Tamandua tetradactyla: one gene and its partner. The protein of the gene in region 1 binds, or shares a complex with, the protein of each later gene. Links are inferred from orthologs where the notes say so. Each region holds a gene or a part of one and is shown in the gene's direction. Other genes may lie near its edges.

Evidence for each region.
Region 2: CORO2A (region 1) and GPS2 share a complex: the UniProt entries of both Homo sapiens proteins name them as parts of the N-Cor repressor complex. The link is inferred for Tamandua tetradactyla from reciprocal best matches to the Homo sapiens genes CORO2A and GPS2.

The regions. Positions count from the first base shown.
Region 1 is NC_135328.1:15,425,544-15,436,504, reverse strand, and holds the start of CORO2A (coronin-2A), read left to right. Parts: upstream 1-6,244; 5' UTR 6,245-10,050; coding exon 10,051-10,170; exon of another isoform or gene 10,171-10,181; intron 10,182-10,961. Other genes in the region: TBC1D2 (TBC1 domain family member 2A), read left to right, coding at 1-33.
Region 2 is NC_135332.1:61,178,391-61,188,612, reverse strand, and holds GPS2 (G protein pathway suppressor 2), read left to right. Parts: upstream 1-6,201; 5' UTR 6,202-6,459; exon of another isoform or gene 6,460-6,463; intron 6,464-6,469; exon of another isoform or gene 6,470-6,661; 5' UTR 6,662-6,730; coding exon 6,731-6,824; intron 6,825-7,181; coding exon 7,182-7,291; intron 7,292-7,369; coding exon 7,370-7,482; intron 7,483-7,589; coding exon 7,590-7,669; intron 7,670-7,758; coding exon 7,759-7,841; intron 7,842-8,046; coding exon 8,047-8,200; intron 8,201-8,282; coding exon 8,283-8,372; intron 8,373-8,458; coding exon 8,459-8,538; intron 8,539-8,624; coding exon 8,625-8,720; intron 8,721-8,912; coding exon 8,913-8,996; 3' UTR 8,997-9,090; downstream 9,091-10,222. Other genes in the region: NEURL4 (neuralized-like protein 4), read left to right, coding at 364-539, 626-757, 1,133-1,278, 1,367-1,591, 1,677-1,775, 1,862-2,023, 2,218-2,481, 2,869-3,027 and 7 more; EIF5A (eukaryotic translation initiation factor 5A-1), read right to left, coding at 10,098-10,160. UniProt on the Homo sapiens protein: Key regulator of inflammation, lipid metabolism and mitochondrion homeostasis that acts by inhibiting the activity of the ubiquitin-conjugating enzyme UBE2N/Ubc13, thereby inhibiting 'Lys-63'-linked ubiquitination.

The DNA.
Region 1 (10,961 bases):
GCCAGTGAGGACGAGGGGGAGGGGGAGGCCTGAGCTGGCCCCACCCCCACCCCGTGCCCCTCCTTCCCCTTGGCTGCCAGGCTCCCCCAGACAACAGCCATAGGGGCCAGTGGACCTGCCCTGTGGAGCCTCATCCCTGGAGGCCCTGGGCAGGTCCCTCTCACTGCTTCCTTGTCCCCATTGGGATGTGGACTGCCCTGAGGCCATTGGCCAGGTTTCCTCCTCCAGGTGGGTGCCAGGGAAGTGCCCTTCCTCACCTCCCCAGAGCATGCCCCCACCCCAGCGAGCTCGGGACTGCCTTCATGGGGTAGCTTTGCAAATGCCCCAACCTGTATCTACTTAAAACTGTAAATATTGGAAACAGTTCATGAGGTTTGAAACGTAGTTGCTTCTCGGTTGGCAGCGGTCCCGGGAAGTCCCACCGTTAGGGGCGGCTGGGGCTGCTGGGGCTGCTGTGTCCCTCGGCGCCTGTGCGGGGGCGCTGCCTCCGCTCCCTAGGAGCGCTTTTAGGGTGTCTGCCTTTCTGAGCAGCAGCCGGGCCTGTGTGCCCCACTTCTGCCTCCCACTGCCGACTTCGCAGGCTGGGTGAGGAGGGCCCTCTGTGAAAGATGGGGTTGGGAGGGAGGTGAGAGGTCGCAGTCGCTTCAGAGCTGGACCGTAGGGCCCCTACTATGTGCAGGAACTCGGGCTTTCCACCGGCCTCCTCTGGTTTTGATTCTTCTGGGCCTTTCCAGGCCTTTCCTCAGCAGACAGAGGCTCCCTCCACCCCACTCCAGCCAAGGCCGGGGCTCAAGGCTGCACAGCAGTTTTGGCAACTCTTTTCTCAGTAAAACTTGGACCTGGTGGAGGACCAGACTGGGAGGTGGGGAAAACTCTGGAAGATTGCTGAGGATTAGGGGAAGAGGGCCTGAAACCTCCCAGGAGTGATCTAAGGCTCCTTTCTGTCTGGGGCTGGGAGAGGGGCCCTGCCTACCCCAGGGCCAGCTACTTGGGAAGCCCCCAGCCAGGGTGCTGTGACCCTAAGACCAGGGACGAGGGCTTGAGCCTCTGAAGCTCCCAGAAGGGTTGAAAGGTCAGTGCCTGCAGGGTGCACAGGGCAGCTCAGCCCATGGCGTGCAGGACCTGTCACAGGGAGGGCCCTGGGGCTTGAAAGGGCCCAAGGCGCCAGGAAGCCAGAGCCTGCAGCCCTCACTGGGCTCAGCCTTGATATTCAAATTCCCTCCTCAGCAAAAACAAATCAGCCATCAGGCAGATAACCCCACCCTCCACCCCTTTCCTTCTGCCCCTTTCTTCTCCCTTCCCTGGCCCTCCCCTCTGCCTTCCTCCTCCTTCTCCTCTCCCCGTCTTCCCACTTCCCTTTCCCTTTCCTTCCTCCTCCCCTCCTCCTCCTTCCCCATTCTCTCCCTCTCCCAGCCTCATCTTCCCTCTCCACCCCTCCCTCTTCCCATGGGGAGAGTGGGGGTGCTTTCAGTCACCCAGCATCTTGTACCACTGGTTCCCTCCCTGACTGCCCTCTGGAATGACCTGAGTAGCTTTCTGAAATGTCTTAGCCAGTCTCTAGGGTGGGCCAGGGTTCTGATACCCCGGGGGGGTGGGGAGTGCACAGGACTGAGACCCTGTCAATGAGGAGAGTTGCCCGTCGCACAGCATCAGCTCGCTCCAGCTGGCCCTAGGCACAGTGAGACCAAGGTTCAGAGGGGCTCATTAACCTGCCCAAGGCCACACAGCCCCAGGCAACTGAGCCCCACTGTAGTCTGGCCCCTGCCCCTCACCAGCACTGGAGCTTAGAGTGCTCCCCAACGATCCTGGGAGGGCCCTGACTGGCCTCGGGGACGCTCCAGGCAGTGGGAAATGAGAAAAAAAAGATGTCACCAGAGGTTTACAAAGAGAGCAAGGCTTTGGCAGCGACTACCGGCGGGGGGGGGGGGGGGGGGGGGGGGCTCGTATCCCACAGGGAGCCCACCCTCCCTCTGCTTTTCCTGGAGGGTATTTGGGGGCCCATCCCCCGGTGTCAGGTTCCTGGCCACACCACAGCTGTCACCCCCATCCCCAGGGGCCGCTGCCTTCCAGGGCTGGGGGATGTGATCCTTGCAACCCCACCTCCCTTCCCTTCCCATGGACCTTGTGCTGCCCCCACCCCCACCCCTGCCCCAGATGCACGGCTCCCAGGGGCTGAGGGGGCCACAGGTTAGGAGGAAGGATTTGAGGCCCAGGAACAAAGGGATGGCAGTCCAGATAGAGGAGGGGTCTGGGGGACACTTTAGAGATGCTCTCCCTGTCCCCAGAGTGGGAGGGGTCACTCACTTCCACAGGATTCCTGTGTTCAGGGATAGGAACCCCAACCATGGGACACCCCCAGTCTCCCAGTGGCCCTCAAAGGAGTTCCCACCCCTTCGTAGCCATTTCAAACACCGGGTGCCCAAGCGAGGTGCTGGGAGAGGTGGAGCCTTGAGGCATAGGAATACAGTGCAGTGGGCCCAGCCAGTGGAGGGAGAGGAGGCTGTGCAGCTCCAGGGGCTGCCCTGGGAACTTCGGGAGGCAGCTGGAGCTGTCAGTGAGGAATGGTGGGCTCCCCTCTCTAGCATGCAGAGCTTGAGTGGAAGGGAAGGGCAGGAGTATGTTCTCAAAGGAAGCCCCTTGGGAGGGGGTGTCAATTTATGCTGGCTGATGACAACTGCCTCCTCCCCCAACATGCCAGATCCCAGAGTGCCTGTTGTAGAGGTGCCCAGTGGCCCTTCCCTCCGTCCCTTGGACCACATGCCCCCAGCCCCCAGAGATGTCCTGGTCAAACCAGCCTTTCCCCAAACTGAGGCCCATCCAACAACCCTCAGGCCACTGGGTGGGAGAATGCAGACACAAAGCTGGGAGGGCGGACCATGGGGGCATCCGGGAGGCTCCCTAGGGGAGGGGCTGTTGGTGCAGAGCCTGGAAGGGTGAGGCCAGTTAGAAAGGGGAAGGTAATGACAAGGAAAGAGAATTCCTGGCAGAGGGGACAGCACCAGCAAAGACACAGAGGTGCAAGGACGCAAGGTGAGTGGGACCTGGGAGGTTGAGGCTGAGCCTTGGAGAACTGCAACACCGAGAGGCCTTAGCTTTGGAAAGTCAACAGTGCCCACTTCCAGGCATGATTCAACAGAAAAGCAATACTGAACCATGAGTATAAGGATTTTCCACTCCATTCTGATTTTGTCCATGTGGTTTACTGAAACATCAAAGAGCCGACTCACCAACAGGCATTGGTGCTGCCTATGGGGCCCCAGGGTAGAGCCTCTGAGGGCCTAAGAGGCACTGGGCTTTGCAGCACACGGACCCCACCCAGCTCTGGGCAGGTGGCCCAGTGGACGCTGAGCCCCAGGGTCTGGCCCAGGTTGCTTTTTCTCAGGAATTAACTCAGAGCCCCCCCTCCCACCCCCAGTACTCAGCCACTCTAAGCCTCAATTTTCTTATCTACAAAACGAGTGTAGTAATAGTGGTTAAAGAAAGGCTTAGTAGGATTAGACGAAATAATATATGTGGAGTGGTACATAGACTGTTACTCAACAAATGATAGAGCATGCCTGCTAGGCGCCAGGGACTCTAGGTCCCGAAGCTGCACCACCAGAGCAAAGGCTGCAAAACAAAAGGTGTGGTGGAGCAACTAGAAGCTTGCTGCCTGGGGTTGACTTACCAACTGTGCGACCTAGAGCAAGCTCCTTAACCTCTCTGTGCCTCAGCTTCCTTCTGGGCAAAATAGGGGAGTGATGGCCTCAAACTCATTGGCTTGTGCGCAGTAGAGCCAGGTTACACATACAAGGGGCCTGGCAGCCGTGCCCGGCACACATCCAGCGCTCCATGAAGGTTAGCTGCTGCTGTTAGGAAAAGGCCCAGTTTCCCATCACCTCCCCATAGCCCGGCGTCCCCTGGACCCCCAAGCCGGCGAGGCCGAGTAGAGCGCCCCCTCCTGGCTGCCGAGAGAAGGAGCAGGGTGCTCCCTCTCCGCCCAGCGCGGAGCTGCAGTCGCCGCTCCAGACCCCGGCTCTCCGGGACGCCTTTGCAGGGCCGGCCTCTGCGCGCGCACTTGCCGGGGCCGGATCGTTTCATCGAAATCCTAGGCACCCCGCTGGGACAGATCCGTCTCCATTTCTCCTCGGGGGCAAAGGGAAGCTCGGGGAGGTCGAGGCCCCGGCCCTACGCCGCGCGGCCAGATGGGTCTGCCTGACCCCAGGCTCCGCTCGGTGGCCCCGTGGCTCGCCCGGATCCCTGCGGCGGCTGCGCGCCTGGGCTGGGCCGTGAGCGCGCCCAGAGACCAGCCCCGGGGGGCCAGGAGCGCGGCGGGGTGGGGGGGGTGCGGGAAGGCGGGGCTGGGGGGCGGGTCCCCATCTCGCCAGTCGGGCTGCGCGGGTAGGAGGCGGCGCCCGGCGCGGGGACTCCGCTGGCGGCGAGGAGCACGGAGCCGGAGCCGGAGCCGGAGCCGGAGCCGGACACTGCCGCCGCCGCCGCCACCTGCGCGGCCGTCACCAAGGTAGGGCGGCCCCGCGCCTTCGCGGGCTGCGCGCGGGGAACGGCAGGCGGGACGAGCACGCGGTGCCTGCCGGCTGCAGCGCCCGGGGAGATGCGAGAACTGGGCGCGCCGCGGGGGGCCCCGGCGGGGCGCAGGGGACCTGGTTCCCGGCCCCTCCGCGTGACCTTGCGCAAAGCACTGCTCCTCTCCAGGCCTCCGTTTCCCCCTCGGGCAAGCAGGTGCCGCGGGGACTCTTCGTCTCCGCGCTGTGGGGAGGGGCTACCCCGAGGTCCGGCCTCCCGACGGCTCAGGGCCCGGATGGGCACCGGCTACACCGCCCACCCCTCCCGCCCGCAGCGAGGGCCGCTCCTTTTGGGCGCGGCGACTCGGCTCCGACGCGGCCCGATGGTGGCCCTGGAGCCCGTGTCAGGCCCCTTCCTCTCTCGGCCTGGTGACCTGCTGGCCTCGGCTTCCCGGTCCGGGAAACGATGGAGGGGGGAGCCGGGCACAGCGGTCGGCTGGCCTGGGCTTGCGGGGTGGGGCCGTCAGGTTCTGCCCGCGTAGACTGCCTCGCGGGCAGGGGCTGGGCGGCCTGGGCTGGAGGTGGCCGGCTCTCACACGCAGACCTGCTGGGCCAGACCCACACCGCCGGTCGCCTCCTGCATTAGGGTCTGTTTGGCCCGTCCCATTCTGCGCCCCAGGCACGTGCTGGTGCCCCGCCCTGTGTGACAGGGCCACGTGTGGACCACAGGAGCGACCAAGTCAGCAGGGTTATGTCTGCATGGGGGTGGCCTGAGGGGCGAGCATGGCTGGGGCTATGTGGCCCCAGACTCCCCATGGTGAAGAGCCCCTGGGACCTGGGTTGCCCACCCCTGCTGACAAGTTGTCCACTAGCTCCAAAGGCAGCTTCAGGCTCACTGGAATCTGCTTCCCAGCCCCTGTCCCTCCCTTTGGTCCAGCTCTGGGCACACAAACAACAAGCAATTCTCCTGCCCCACCCTGGGAGCCAGTCATAGGGTCCCTTAAACCTGCTCAGGTCTGGGCCAGCCAGTGCTGTGTCTCCTGCCAGAGACAGCAGAAGCAGAGGTGGAGAGAGCTAGCTGAGTCCGCTATGGGGCCTCTTCTTAGCTGTGAGCTTATTCAGAATCCACCTGTGCAGGAGGCCTGGCATGGACTTTGGGTCTCTTTTGTTCTCCTTCAAACCTGCCCTTCACCCAGCAGACTTCTTACCACTAAAGAAAGTGAAGGGTGGCTTGGACAGGTGGTGAGCTCCCTGTCATCGAAGGTCTGCAAACAGAGACTGGATGAGCACTTGTTGCAGGCTGGCAACTTTTGACTGCGAGTCACTGAGATTCTAAAGGGCTGAAATAGAGTGACCTAGAGTGAAAGCTGCAAGGGACATGCACAAATGAGTGTTATTAACCCCTTGTAACAGCAGACTGAGTATACTGCTGTCACACCAACATGCAGGAATAAGTATTACTTCTATGTTTGTCATCACCATACATATATAAAAAATAATCTGGGCCCTGTTTTCCTTCATAGCTAATCCAAGCCATTTGGGCTCAATTTAGGGGCAGGGCAGATGTTGATTATTTAAAAAGTAATTCTATGCTATTAATTACAAAATGCACCATGCAATTATGAAATGTCCAAGCTGAAAAGGATCTCCAAAAAACATGATTGTACAGATTGGCAGCCCCTACCCCCCCCCCCCCCAAAGGAGACGTGACTTGCCAAAGTTTACTCCAAAAACCAGCAGTCCAGCCCAGGCATCCTGATTCCAAGACCAGAGCTTTTTCATAAACACATACCATTAAGCAAAGGAAAGCAGTATCCCTATAAATTTAGTAAAAATAAACAGAAAAAAATAAAACTTTGTGCAGGCAAGGCTACAGGGATTTGCTGGTGGCATTTCATTTTGCCAGGCAATCTGGCAGCTTGTTACAAGAGCCCATGAAAACGACCCTACCTGTCCTTGTCCCTAACCCTCTATTTTGGGGATTTACCCCCAAGGAACTGACTCTAGGCAGAGACGGGTAATGCTGCTATTTACGAGAAGTTATCTCAAAGTGAAAAAGCATCCGGTGTTCTATCTGAGGTTTGATAACACATTTTGTTTGAAAAGCACAGCTCACAAATTAGTCACACTGAAGTTTACGTTGCGGGGTCTGGCCAGCTTTGGAAGCAGTGTGGTCCTTAGAGAAAAGCCCGAGATGAAGAATCAGCAGGCATGGCCTCCACGATGAGCCCTGCCTCTACCCCACTATGTCCCGTGGGCCAACCCCTTTCCCCTCTCTAACCCCGCTTTCCCCACCTGTGAAATAGGGGTAAACCCAGTGGTTGCTTTATTTCTTTCAGTATGTTCTAGACTTAGCAACTCTTTGTAACTGAAGCCTTTTATTGGAAGGAGCACTGAACACAGTGGAAACCAAAAAATGTTCCAGCTCCCCCCCCTTCCCCATCATTAAATGAGTCTTTGACAGGCCAGCAGCTAGCTGTTTTTTCCTGGGAAGGAATTCCTGCCGTATCCCTTTCCTATTTCCAGATGGCCAGAGCCGGTTCTGTTTGAGAGTTTGGTGTGTTTTGTTTTTATCTTCTCTCCCAAATCTTATAAGACAGAGATTTGTCAGGAGGACCAGAAAATAATTCAGTAGGACCCTTTATTAATTATTTTAAGTTCCTAGACTGGACCTTGCCTCCTTCAGAACAGATTGGAGGGGGTAGCAATCATAGCCTAGTCTGCAGGGCCAGGAGGAGGTTACTTCACTTCTGGGGGAAACAGCAAGTTGCTGGGGAAATGTGTTAGATTAAAACATGTGAAACGGCCAATATCTGACTATTTGACTTGCCGAAAAAATGGCAATTTCATTTGGTTCAGCCTAAGTGAAAAAAGATATCATTAAGGAGCAGAGTGCTTCTTGCTATAATTAAGAGACAGGCAGGGGACGGTGGGTCCTCGGAAGATGTGATTATAAGCTTTGGAAGTCAATGAGGAGGACATATGAGCCTCACCTTGAATAATAAATAATAGTAATAATATTTATGGTGTACTTACCACCTGCCTGATACATCCTAGGTGCTTTCCTTTCATTCATTCGTTTAGTCATTTGACCCCTATTTAGCAAGCACCTTTTGTGCCAGGAATTCTCTAGGTGCTGGGGGGGAGTGGAGGGTCAGACAGTAAAATAGACGCAAAAAAATCTGCCCTCAAATTGTTTAGATTTACTAGGAAAAAATACAGACAATGAACAAGTGAAATAGATGGTGATAAATAACATGGAGCAAATAAAACAGGAGGGGGCAGTGGTAGAATGCTCACCTTCCATGTGGGAGACCCAGGTTCGATTCCTGGACCATGCACCCCCAAAAAAACAAACAGGAGGGGGATAGGGCATGGGAGGGGGCAGGGGTAGGGGGTTGCCATTTTAAATAGAGTGTTCCTTGGAGGCCTCATGGGGAAAGTGACATTTTGCAATGGCTGAGGGAGGTGAGGGAGCAAGCTGGGCAGAATTTTGGAGGTAGATTCTTCCAGCCAGAGGGAACAGCCAGTGCAAAGGCTCTGAGGGGGGAGGTTGCCTGGCGTGTTCAAGGAAGAGCAGGTGAGAACAAGATGACAGCGAGAAGGAAACAAGCCAGAGAAGCCACGGGCAGCTCGTGTACCTCGCCCCCTGCACAAAACGGAATCCTGCAGGTTTGTGAGGGCAGTACTATTGTATTCCTCTTTTTTTAGTTAAGAAAACAAAAGTACAGAGAAGTTAAGTAGCTTGCCCAAATAGCGCTGTGTGGAGGAGCTGAGGATTTCAGCCAAGGGCAGTGGAGAGCCATGGCAAGCTTTAGAGCAGAGCAGGAGTGTGGCCAGACTTGAATGTTAGGGCGATTCCTCTGGGATGCCTTGGAGACTGGCAGGAGGCTGTGGAAGTTGTCCAGGCCTTCGGTGATGAGGTCAGGTCCGGACAATGAATGTGGCGGCAGCAGATCCAAAGAGATTGGTGTTAGCGGTGCGGTGGGGTGGAGTGGGGTGAGGTTGGGGCCCGGCCAGGCCAGCAGGAAGAGGAAGCCTGGGTGGCTCTGGGCTCACTTGTCATATGCCAGCACATCTAAGACTTTACATCCATTAACCTATCAGTCCTCTGCAACCAAGAGGATAGGTACCATTATCCCCTTTTTTAAAAAGTGGCTATATCTTATTATATGTCAATTATTTCTCAATAAAGTTAATTTACAAAGAAAGTTTGCTAGTTTCCTTGGCTTTCCTGAACAAAATACCACAAACTGGGTGGCTTGAAACAATAGAAATGTATTTTCTCCCAGTTCTGGAGGCCAGAATTCCAAATGAGGGTCTCGAAATTCTTAAAAGGACATCAGTCGTAAAGGATAAGGGCCCAGCCTCTTTGGCTTCCTCTTAACTAACCACATACATGAGACTGGAGGTTAGGACTTGAACGTGTCTTTTGGAAGGACACAATTCAGTCCATAACAGAAAGCATTTGTTTGCCCCCTTATAAATACTTGAGTATAATAGAGGATTTAGAAAAAGATAAGGAAAACAGGCAGAAACTAAATTACCCATGTCTTCTCCTCTCTACATTTCATACAATCAGTATAACTTTGGATTTCAGCCATTTTTCTCCTGCTGTGCCCATTTTACAGATGAGAACTCTGAGGCCAGGAGAGGTTGGGGAGCTGGCTGGGGGTCATAACTGTACCCCCATGCCCCCAGCTGCAGTGTCCCGTGTCTGTTGAGCTCTGCTGCCTGCAGGCAAGCCCTGGAATGCCAGAGACGGTGGGTCCATTGAGACACAGCCCCGCCCCCACCCCTGCCATCCTTGCACAGGTAGGCAAGGTAAGGCCCAGTGAAAGGCAGGGCCTTGCCCTGCATCTCTCTGCCAGCCAGGAGCAGACAGGCGATGTCTCGTTCAAATAAGAAGAAATAGAGAGCTGGGAACTTGGCCTGGGTAGATGTGACAGCTGCTTCCAGCCTGGCCCTGAGCCTGGGGCTCGCAGGGGGCCAGCAGGTGGTGTGTGACCCTATCCAAGGGGAGTGCTGGAGAGGTCCAGGGAGGAGCCGTGTTCCCTGGGCCAGAGGTAGTAGCCCTCCAGTCAGCTGTCCCTGGAAGGTGGCAGCCAGGTGATGCGGGAGGGAGAAGTTGGGCTTTGTCGAGGCCTCTGGCCCCCCGGGAGCCATCCCCTGTACTCCGACTGTGCATTTAGTTCTGCGTCGGGTGCCAGCAAGCTCCTGATCTGCCTGCTGCTAGTAGGGACAGGGGCCTGGCTTCCCACCCCAGCTCCGCCCCGGTGGCCTGGGCCAGGGTCTTGCCCTCCCCATCTGCAAAGAAGCATCACAATGGTGCCAGCTGCAGGTGCAGTGGGAGGAGGGGCTGGCACAGGGCGGGGCTGGGAGACACCCAATAAATGGCCAGTTACTTGTTATTCCCGAGGCCACCCTCCAACAGGGTGTCAGCCCAGGCTGGGGGGACCAAGCCCATCAAAGCCAGAGACACCCCACCTCCCCATCCTCACACTGGGCTGGGACGCATAGGGCCTGGCCAGTGCAGGAGGAGAGGGAAATGAGCCTACAGCAGTGCTTTGGAGTTGCAGATTGCAGACCACAGGGGACGCAGAGGAGCAAAGGAAGCCCTGCCTCCGAGATGGAAGATGCTGGTCCGAGGCCTGAGCCGGCAGCTGAGGTGCTCAGTAGGCAAGTCCTACCCCTTCTCTATGCCTCAGTGGCCTCCCCCATAAAATGGGGATCATAGGAATCCCCGCCCCTATGCTAGGGACTGTGGCAGTAGCTAAGAGACACAGAAAGCTGTAGGTGTTTGGAGGAGGCTGTCTAACTAGCCTGGAAGGAATGGAGGTCAGGGAGGGCTCCCTGGAGGAGGTGATGCCTGAGCTCTGGGTCATTGGTGGGGTTTGGAGTCAGCCAGACTCCAAAGGGGAGGTAAATGAAGAGAAGACAAAAAGGCAAGTCACCCCAACTCTCCAAGCCTCCTCCATTTCATCATCTATAAAATGGGAATAACAGATACCTGCTCTGCCGAATTTATAGGGTTAGGATGCTCAAACTCAGATAAAGGGTGTGGAAGTGCTTTATGAGCTGCCAAATGGTAGCATATGTTCGCTGCCCTCGGGTTTTCTTCAGCCTCCTGGGATTTAGGGAGCTCCCAGGGCAGCGTCGGGGTTTGGGAGAGCTTCCGGTCTGTTCCAAAAGGGCCTAGAACCAAATCCGACGTGGACAGCCAGGGAGCCTGGGCCTCACGCCTGTTGGTTTAAGCCTTGAGGGTATTTCTATGCCAGGGCGTAGTCGGCGCCGGGAATCCGTCTGAGGCGTGCAGAGCCAGGGGCAGAGTCTGGCGCTCTGGGCACCCTGGGCCAGGGCGGGCTTGGGACTCAGGCCGTGGGGTCACGGCATGGGAGCGAAACCGGTGAGGGCCTGTCAGGCGGACACACAGGTCACAGTGCACATGGATGGAACAAG
Region 2 (10,222 bases), on another chromosome or scaffold:
CCTGCATTTGGGAACAGTTTGGCAGGGCTGGGTGGAGCCAGCTGGGACCAGGGAAGAAGGGTTTGGTGCCTGCGGTGGTCATGGGCACTGACAGACTTAGGGATCTGACTGTCCCCTCCCTCCAATTCTGGGAAGTCCCCTAGCCCTGCAGGGGCAGGTGAAATCCCATCTTCCCCTTAAGGTAGTTCCTACTTTTTCCCCAGGGGATCACAGGCAGGAAGGAGATGGTATTGGGCTTCAGACCCAGATCAAGGCCCCAATCCCAGGCACTGGAAGGTTCTGACAGGCAGAGCTTGGGCAGAGGCTTGTGTGGGCAGGAAGCTGGGAGGCTGACCCAGCCCTCTGCCACCTCCCCACCTGCAGTGGCACGGCCATCATGCAAGATGGTAACACCATGCGCAACAACTACGGGTGTGACCTGGACGCGCTGGGCACAGGTGCACGTATTGGCATGATGCGTACTGCCAAGGGCGACCTGCACTACTTCATCAACGGCCAGGACCAGGGCGCTGCCTGCTCAGGCTTGCCTCCGGGTAAAGGTGACTGCTCTGTGGTTTTCACCTGCCACCCTTCAGCTTGCACCCCACTGGGCCGTCGGTCTTCTGAGCTTCCCTTTCCCATCCAGAGGTGTATGCAGTAGTGGATCTATATGGCCAGTGTGTCCAAGTGTCCATCACCAATGCCACCGGCCCCATGGACAACAGCCTAGCGACCAGCAACACCGCCACTGAGAAGTCATTCCCCCTGCACTCCCCAGGTCCAGCCGGCAGGGAGGGAGGGGGGCTGTCTTTACCTGCCTTGGGCCTGAGGGTATACAGCTCAAAGACAGGCTGGGGTGGCTGCAGGCTAAGGAGAAGGAACAATTGATGGTGGGAAGTAGAAAATAGGGGAGCTTATGCCTGGTACCCAGAGTCTAGACAGTTCCCTGCCACCAAAGACACTGGGAGTTGGGCATCCCTGGTTTGGGAATGAGTCTTGCTCTGGTGAAAAGAAGTATCAGGAGGTCCTGAAGGAGTACTTTATGTCCACTTCCTGTTTTATCTGAGAGTTTAACTCTGTGTCCTGTCCCAAATTCCTGCTTGAAGCTTGTCACGTCAGGCCTTTCTTTTACTCTGGCACCATCTTTCTACAGTGGCTGGTGTGGCTCACCGATTTCACAGTACTTGTGGCAAGAATGTCACACTGGAGGAGGATGGCACGAGGGCAGTGCGTGCGACTGGTTATGCTCATGGCCTTGTCTTCAGTACCAAGGAACTCAGGCCTGAGGAAGTCTTTGAGGTGGGTTGTACAGATACAACAAAGGCGGCTATTGGGAGTATCACATTGGAGCCAGACTCATGCCCACTGATGGTTTCCCCTCTCCCAGGTGAAAATAGAAGAGTTGGATGAGAAGTGGGCAGGCTCACTCCGGCTGGGGCTGACCACACTACCACCAGGGGAGATGGGCCCTGGAGCAGGGGGTGGCCCGGGACTGCCGCCCTCTCTGCCAGAGCTCCGGATGAAGACTACTTGGATGGTATCCAGCTGTGAAGTGAGGCGAGATGGGCAGCTTCAGAGGATGAACTACGGCCGGAACCTGGAGAGACTGGGGGTGAGGCAGCTGGCTCCAGGCATGGGGCAGAGTAGGGGTGGCAGGGAGAGGTAGACTGAGTACTTTCATTCCCCTTTGGTCCTAGGTGGGAAGCCGTGTGGGTGTTCGCCGGGGGGCAGATGACACAATGCACATCCTGGTAGATGGAGAGGATATGGGGCCTGCAGCCACTGGCATCGCCAAGGTAGACTAGAGGCCTTCCTTGGGTTCTACAAGTGGGGCTGAGGTCTTGTGCTGACCTCTGACTTCTTGGGTCCCTTGTGCCTCCAGAATGTGTGGGCCGTGCTGGATCTGTACGGTCCAGTGCGGAGTGTGTCTATTGTCAGCTCCACGAGGCTGGAGGAGTCCGAAGGCACCCAGCCTCCTTCCCCCAGCTTGGATACCGGCAGTGAAGGCGAGGAAGAGGACGAAGGCGAGGAGCAGAGCCTGGGAGTAAGAAGCTGCAGCAGGGCCTGCCAGGCTCACTGGTGGGCAGTGAAGGGCCACTGGAAGCCGGGTCTTTTGGAGGGTCTATGATCCGGTCCTGAAGAGGCAAAGGCTCATAATTAAGCTCTGCATAAACTCAGGTGGGTTGGGTCAGGTACAGTGGCAGCAACCCCAGCAGCTCAGTTTCTCCTCCACACCAGGGCCAGGATCAAGTGGCCATTATGCCCACAGCCCTCGAGTTCCTGGAGAACCATGGGAAGAATATCCTGTTATCCAATGGGAATCGTACAGCCACACGAGTGGCTAGCTACAATCAGGGCATCGTCGTCATCAACCAGCCCCTGGTGCCCCAGCTGCTGGTCCAGGTGGGACTTGCCTTCTTAACTCCCAGCTCCTCTGGCTCCAGCATTACCTCAGGCCAACCCTCCCGGAGAAAGGCCATTGAGTTGAAGGAAAAGTGGAAGGTTGGTCTCCTGGCAAAGTTAGCAGCTGGAGGGCTGTGGTAAGGGCTGGAAGAGTCCAGAGGAGATGCGTGACCCTAAGTGTGGGCGTAGGGAAGGCATTCCAGAGGAAGGGGCCATTCAGCTGCAAACATGTCAGTTACCCAGTTCAGGGAAGTCCTTAGGTACAAGAGTCCCTGCTGAGGCAACAGCAAGACCGTGGCTTAAAGGGGAAGGAAACAGTTGAATTTGCAGCTTCTAGGCCCTGCAAGCACCAGCAGGGCATTTTCCCAGGCCACGCACTGGGAGATGCAGTATTCCTTCCCTGGCTGGATGAGGAGCCTGGTTCTTCCGGTTCAGTGGCCCTTTCCTAGGAGGCCATAGCTGGAAAGGGGCTACCTTCTCCCACAGGTGCGAATAGACTTCTTGAACCGACAGTGGACATCGTCCCTTGTCCTGGGAGTCATTGCTTGTCCACCTGAGAGGCTCAACTTCCCTGCCTCTGCCTGTGCCCTCAAGCGGGCAGCCTGGCTGCTGCGGGGCCGAGGTGTCTTCCACAATGGTCTCAAGGTGAAGGAGGAGCCAGGGGAAAGGGAAAGGGCTGGGTCTCTGAGTTGGGAGGGGCTGGACAAAAGGGAAAAGTTGGACCCCTAGCCTTGGTGATGCAGGCAGGGTAGGAAAGTGCATGGGTGTCCTTAGCTGGGGCAGTCTCAGGCCTACCACTTCTTCCTGTGTTCCTGCCATTGAGAAGGTTCCAATTGGGAGGAAGTGTGAAATGGAGTCTAGATCTGTCATTGAAGCGAGGGCTAGGGCTTAGGCAGTGGGTGGGTGAGGCAAAGCCCAAGGCCCAGTACCTGGCAGCTGAACAACAGGTGGGGACGGCTGCTGCTGGTGGAGGCCAGTCTCTGGGAAGACAGCAGCAGGTCTCTCCTCCCAGATCTGTGAGAAATTTGGGCCAAATCTGGACACATGTCCTGAAGGAACCATCCTGGGACTGCGGCTAGACAGCTCTGGGGGTCTGCATCTCCATGTCAATGGAGTAGACCAGGGGGTGGCTCTGTCGGACGTCCCCCAGCCCTGCCATGCACTTGTGGACCTCTATGGGCAGTGTGAGCGGGTAAGTGGCAATAAGGGGGGCAGGGGGCGTGCTTGGGAACCAGGGATGGCAAAGGGGCATGCCTGTGGTCAGAGAAGGGAATCAGCAAACCTTGGCGGATGACCAAGTTCTGGGTGACCACCCCCTTCCCTGCAGGTGACGATTGTGAGCCCTGAATCAGGAGCTGCCAGTGGCAAGGGTGCTGGAACCCAAGGGGACATGGAGAAAGCTGACATGGTGGATGGTGAGGCAGCCTGAAGGGACCAGGCTCCTACCTTCTCTCCATACTTCCAGCCCCAGCTTCCATGACCGTCACCTCTGCTCCTGTAGGTATCAAGGAGAGCGTGTGCTGGGGTCCACCACCAGCTGCTAGTACCTTAAAGAGCTGCGAGTACCATGCCCTTTGCTCCCGCTTCCAAGAGCTGCTGCTGCTTCCTGGTGAGTATACCCAATCCTTGCTGGAACCTGCCTCACTCCAGAGCCAGTCCAGGGCCAAGCCCAGAGCCCTGGAGACCAGTCGGAAGGAGGCAGCATGGCCAAGAGCCAGGGTGGGAGCCATGGCACCAAGCCTGCCACTCGCTCTCCCACAGAGGATTATTTCATGCCTCCGCCCAAGCATAGCCTGTGCTACTGTGAATCTTGCCGGAAGCTGCGAGGGGATGAGGCCCATAGGCGCCGAGGAGAGCCCCCCCGAGAATATGCCCTGCCCTTCGGGTGGTGCAGGTTCAACCTCAGGTATATGTGGGTGGGGTACCCAGAGGGCACATGGAAAAACGGAACTTCCTGGCTAGAGAATGACCTAGGGGAGCCCTGCCCTATCTGTCCATCTCCTAGGGTGAATCCCCGCCTGGAAGCTGGCACACTAACCAAGAAGTGGCACATGGCATATCATGGGAGCAATGTGGCAGCTGTACGCAGGGTACTGGACCGAGGGGAGCTGGAAGCAGGTACTGTGGAGCAAGGGAGGCAGGGCAGGCTGGGTCTTGGGGACATGGGAGGAGCAAAAAGGGGTGCCCTGACCTAGCTGTCCTCACAGGCACTGCCTCCATCCTGAGCTGCCGGCCCTTGAAGGGAGAGCCTGGGGTGGGTTTCGCAGCGCCTGGCGAGAACTGCGCACCTCCTCGGGAGGAACAGCCCCCTCCAGTGCTGCTTTCCCCCTCCCTTCAATATGCTGGGGCTGAGACCTTGGCATCCAAAGTGCAGTGAGTACATGAGAGGGGAGGAGAGAGAAGAGGAGGGGTGGGGAGAGATCACCAGGGAGTCAGACCAAGAGGGACCCCAGGGCCACTCGAGTCTCCATGACTTGCCCTCCTCTTTTTTCATCTTATCTTACTAGTTCTTTAGTCTCCATCTCAGCCTTTGCTTCATTTATTCATTGAACAAATAGCACTTCTAATCCTTCTTTCCTGAACAGAAAAGGAACCCTTGTGGGAATATGTCTCTCTCTCTCAATGGGTTTATGTATAAGCACTTAGTATTTTTAAAGCTAATTTTTTCATAAAGTATTATGAAAAAAGAAAAAATAGAGTGGGTGAAGTGGGTCAGAAGTGGTGTTAAATAGGGTAAGTCAGGGTGGGCCTCACTGAGATGGGATTTGAGCACTGGCTTGAAGGAGGAAATGAGGCATTTAGCTGAAAAGGTATTGGGAGGAGCATTTCAAGTAGAGCAGCTCTGGCCAAGTCCCTAAAGTGACAGTATCTTCTAGAATAGCAAGGCCAGTATGTCAGAGCAGAATAAGCCAGGGGGAGAGGTGCCAGGGCCAGAGGCCTCACTCCTCTTGCTCTGCTTCTTGCCTGACAGATTCCGGGACCCTAAATCCCAGCAGACACACCAGGCCCAAGTAGCGTTCCAGGTGTGTGTGCGCCCTGGCTCCTACACCCCTGGTCCCCCGACTGCTGCCCTCAGAGAGCCTCCTGATCCTCACTTCAGTCCAGCTGAACTTGAGTGGGTAACCAAGGAGAAGGGGGCCACACTCCTCTGTGCCCTGCTGGTACGGGTGGAATGAGGGGCGAGACCTCACTACGACAAGCACAGTTGAGCCCTGGGCCCATGAACTCTGGGTGACCACTGCCTCCACCTCATTCCAGTGACCCACGGCATGCACCGGGGCTCAGTCTTGGCAGATGTGCAGGAACATGTGCTCAGGCTCTCGGATTTAATTGGGAAGTGGAGCACACCTCCATGTGCAGGGGCCCAAGACACTCCCTCTGACGTGAGGGAACTTGTGGAGTCAGCCCCAGGCCCTGGGGACCCCTCCTCATGCACTGACTTGGGGAACATGACTCCCTATCGCCCCAACCCCAACCACTTAATTTATTTCCGTTTTTTTTGTTGTTGTTATTTTTTTTTCTCCTGGTTACTGTGAATCCCAGAGGAGTGTCTCCCTGTGCCCCACATGAAGCTGCTTTTTTTCGGGGGCCATCGGGCGGGAGTGGGGAAGGGAGGGCGCGAGGGAAGACGGGGGTCCTCTGTACAGCTGTTACTGACTCTGATTTCTAAGGAGCCAATAAACACCGTCTCAGAGCCCTAGCCTCGGTCTTACTCGCGTGCGCCGCTCTCAGAGGCACCTCTTCCCTAGGGCTGCCAAGTGTGCCGAACCCTGGGAGGGCGGACGCTGGCACGCGACCTCACGAAGTTAAGGGCTGCGTCCGGTAGAAGTAGGCCCAGCTCAGGGGAGTCTACAGCCGGGGTGCACGGCCCCCGGCTGGCGAGCAGCCAGTGATCGCAGGCTCCGCAAATAGTGTTTGGACGCCACGGGCACCCGTTACGCTGCGTTTCCGCCTTTTCCTCTCCACCCAACCAGCGAGGGCTGCCGCTTTCTTGACTCCGGAAGAGTTTGGCTTACCCGCCGGATGTGACGCAAGAGGCTAAGGACCACAGGAGGCCGCGGAGAAGGCGAAGGGAAGGCGGGTAGGGAGGGGTCGGTGCCCGGGACTGGCGAGGAAGGGGGCGGGGATCCCCGAGGCTGGAGGTCCCGCCCGCGCACGCGGAGAATTGTGGCTGCGGGCGGGACCGAACTGCGGGCGCCCAGGGACACGTGACTGGAGCGGCGCGCCGGCTTCCGCCTCGGCCGGGTGCGGCCTTCCCTGAACGCCCGCCTCCCCATAGGCCTGGTTCAAGGTCTGGCATTCAGTGACAGAGTCGGGCGCCTACGGCCCGAGCGACCCCGACAGCACCATGCCCGCGCTCCTGGAGCGTCCTAAGCTTTCCAACGCCATGGCCAGGGCGCTTCACCGGCACATCATGATGGAGCGGGAGCGCAAGCGGCAGGGTGAGCTGGGGCCACAGCGGGTGGACATACGGCGCAGGTCTGACCCCCCACCCACGACCATACCGGTACGCCGGCCGGCAAGACTAGCCAAGGGTTGAGACAGCCTTACTATCGTGGCAAGAAAGCCGATCTAAGTTCCAGAACCGTTGAGCTGGGAAGGACCTTGGAGAGCACCTGACAAACCTTACCTCTCCTTGTACCCTGCCGTGTAGGGAAGTCTTTCCCCTCCAGAGGAAAAGAGCCATTACCAAAGACATACAGGAGCATCTGGGTTAACTATTTTTGCTGCTCATCAATATCTGTTTCTACTATTTTAACACCCTGCTACTTCCCTATTCTGCCTGACTCTTTTTCCAGAGGAAGAAGAGGTGGACAAGATGATGGAGCAGAAGATGAAGGAAGAACAGGAGAGGAGGAAGAAAAAGGAGATGGAAGAGAGAATGTCATTAGAGGAGACTAAGGAACAAGTAAGCAGTCCCTTGGTTTTTCCAGCTGTGATTTCTTCCCTCAGCTCTCCTGTCTTCATCTCTACCCTTCCCTTGCAGATTCTGAAGTTGCAAGAGAAGCTCTTGGCCCTACAGGAAGAGAAGCACCAGCTTTTCTTGCAGCTCAAGAAAGTTTTACATGAAGAAGAAAAACGGAGGCGAAAAGAGCAAAGGTGGGGTCGAGAGCTAATAATAAAATTGTGGGGACAAGTGGTAATAGAATCAGGTAACAAAAGATGAGCACCTGTCCTTGACTTTGACCTGCCTTCCCTCCCTCCAGCGACCTGACCACCCTGACATCAGCTGCGTACCAGCAGAGCTTGACAGTTCACACAGGAACTCACCTACTCAGCATGCAGGGTGAGGACAAAAGAAACCACGTGACAGTATGGGCCCTCTGGGGGGTTACAGCCTCCCATTTCCGTATCATGAAGCCTCTCCCATTCTAGGGAGCCCTGGAGGACACAACCGCCCAGGCACCCTCATGGCAGCTGACAGAGCCAAACAGATGTTCGGACCCCAAGTGCTGACGGTAAGAGTAGAATTGGGTGTTCTAGCCCCAGTTGCTTATATTGCTGCTTCTTCCATTCAGACCTGGACATCCTTGCTCCCAGTATTCAAGTCATTAATTACCAAGCAGTTACTGTATAGAACAACGGTATAGAGATAGGCATAAGTCACTGAGGTTCTGCTCTCAAGGAATTCACTGGCAGTGCGTCCTCATCCTCTTTCCTTAGACTCGGCACTACGTGGGCTCAGCAGCCGCTTTTGCAGGGACCCCAGAGCATGGACAATTCCAAGGCAGCCCAGGGGGTGCCTATGGGACTGCTCAGCCCCCACCTCACTATGGGCCCACACAGCCAGCCTATAGTCCCAGTCAGCAGCTCAGAGGTGAGTGATGGAGAGGGGGATTAAAGAGTATTATAAATGGGAGAAGGGAAGTTCCAATGGCTGGGCCTCTTGCCTTTCTCAGCACCTTCAGCATTTCCTGCAGTGCAGTACTTGTCTCAGCCACAGCCACAGCCCTATGCCGTGCATGGCCACTTTCAGCCCACCCAGACAGGTGAGAAAACCTCATGCAGGAGTCCTTTAATCCATGGGTCGTCCCTTCCTCCTTGTCCTATCTTTACATTCTCCTTCCTCATCTAGGGTTTCTCCAGCCTGGTGGAGCCCTGTCCTTGCAAAAACAGATGGAACATGCTAACCAGCAAACTGGCTTCTCTGACTCTGTAAGTGTGGAGCCATGGAAGTTCAGGGTAAGGACTATGCCAAGGGAACCCCAGGCTGCTCAGGTCCTGACTTTGTTCTCTTGCAGTCCTCCTTGCGTCCCATGCACCCCCAGGCTCTCCACCCAGCCCCTGGACTCCTTGCCTCCCCCCAGCTCCCTGTGCAGATGCAGCCAGCTGGAAAGGTGAGGATGGTGACAAACTTAGCTGTCAGAATCCCTGTACTACCAGGAAAACAGGAGATAGTTGGACAGGGGACCCCACCCCCTAGCTTTCCCTTTCTCCTTGGGGGAGTAGATAGTTCTCAATAAAAGTTTTAAAGTGGAAGGTGAATACATGTACTGAAAAAAAAATCCTCATTTCATCACCATCACCAGTCGGGCTTTGCAGCAACCAGCCAGCCTGGCCCTCGGCTCCCCTTCATCCAGCACAGCCAGAACCCGAGGTTCTACCACAAGTGACCATCAGATTGTATCTTCAACCTCACCCCTGCTTCCAGGGATGAGGGCTCCCCCCCTATGTGTTCCAGGCCAATAAAATCTACCTGCCACCACTGCTCCTGGCTGCTGCTATTTGTGTTGCCCACAACCCAACTGTCAGGGCTGCTTTGGGGGAGGGTTTAGCAGGTCCAGACCCAGACAAGAGGTTGTTATTAACTCAGTGGCAAACTGAATATACATTTTACTCAGTGAATACCCATTCACTTCAACCCCCCAAAGAAATGGCTGAATTGAGAGCTTCATATTAAACTTGTAGTTTTATTCAGGTTTGATTTTAACAAATGTGTAGGGGAGAGAGCCCGCAGGAAAGGGTGAAGCCCATGGAGGCAGGGCCCTCCCAGATGCCTGAGGAGGGGGCAGGTCCCCTCCCCTCTCCTCCTCTTCCCTCCCTATCTAAAGGGGTTTGGGGAGAGACATAGGCAGGGGAGGGGGCCGGTCCCCAGTCTGTAGGGGTGGTACTTAGGGTAAAGGACTATGGAGAGAGGAGACCAGAACAGGGTTAAGTAGAAGGGTACAAGGACCATTTGCTAGAATCCACAGCTTTCTGATTCCAGACTGAATAAAAAAAAACAAAAAAAAAAAAAAACAAAAGAACAAACCCAAACCTAAACCACAAGCAGTGCCCACCCACTCTCCCCCCACCAGGGCTGTAGTGCGGGAGGGGAGAGGAAGAGGGCAGCTTCACCATGGCTCGCTCCTGGCCAAGGGAGCAGGGTGAAGGGCAGGGCATCCCCGACAGATTGGGGGTGGGGAGTAGGGTAGAGGAGTAGGAAGAGAAACCAAAATAAAACGTCAAATAAATCGTGTAGGAGGAATCCAGCCAAGGGCCGGGCCAGAGCTGGGCCAGGCTGGGGGAGGGGGCCTCTGCAGGCTCCAGGATCTGCTGCCACCACTGCCACCCTAGAGACGAGAGAAACCAGGTAAGACACGACAACACCTTCAACACAGAACAGTGGGGAGAACAGGCCAGGCTGAGGGCAGAGTAAGCCTGGAACAATTATGCTGAGTACAACTCTTTGAAGGGGATAGCACGGGAAACTGTCAGACTTACCTAGGAGCCAGTTATTTTGCCATGGCCTTGATTGCAACAGCTGCCTCCTCTGTCATGGCTGACAGCACCGTGATCTGTTGGAGGCAAGAAAGCTAGTCAAGAGCTGCTCAAGTTCAGAGGAAGAAGGACAAAGAGC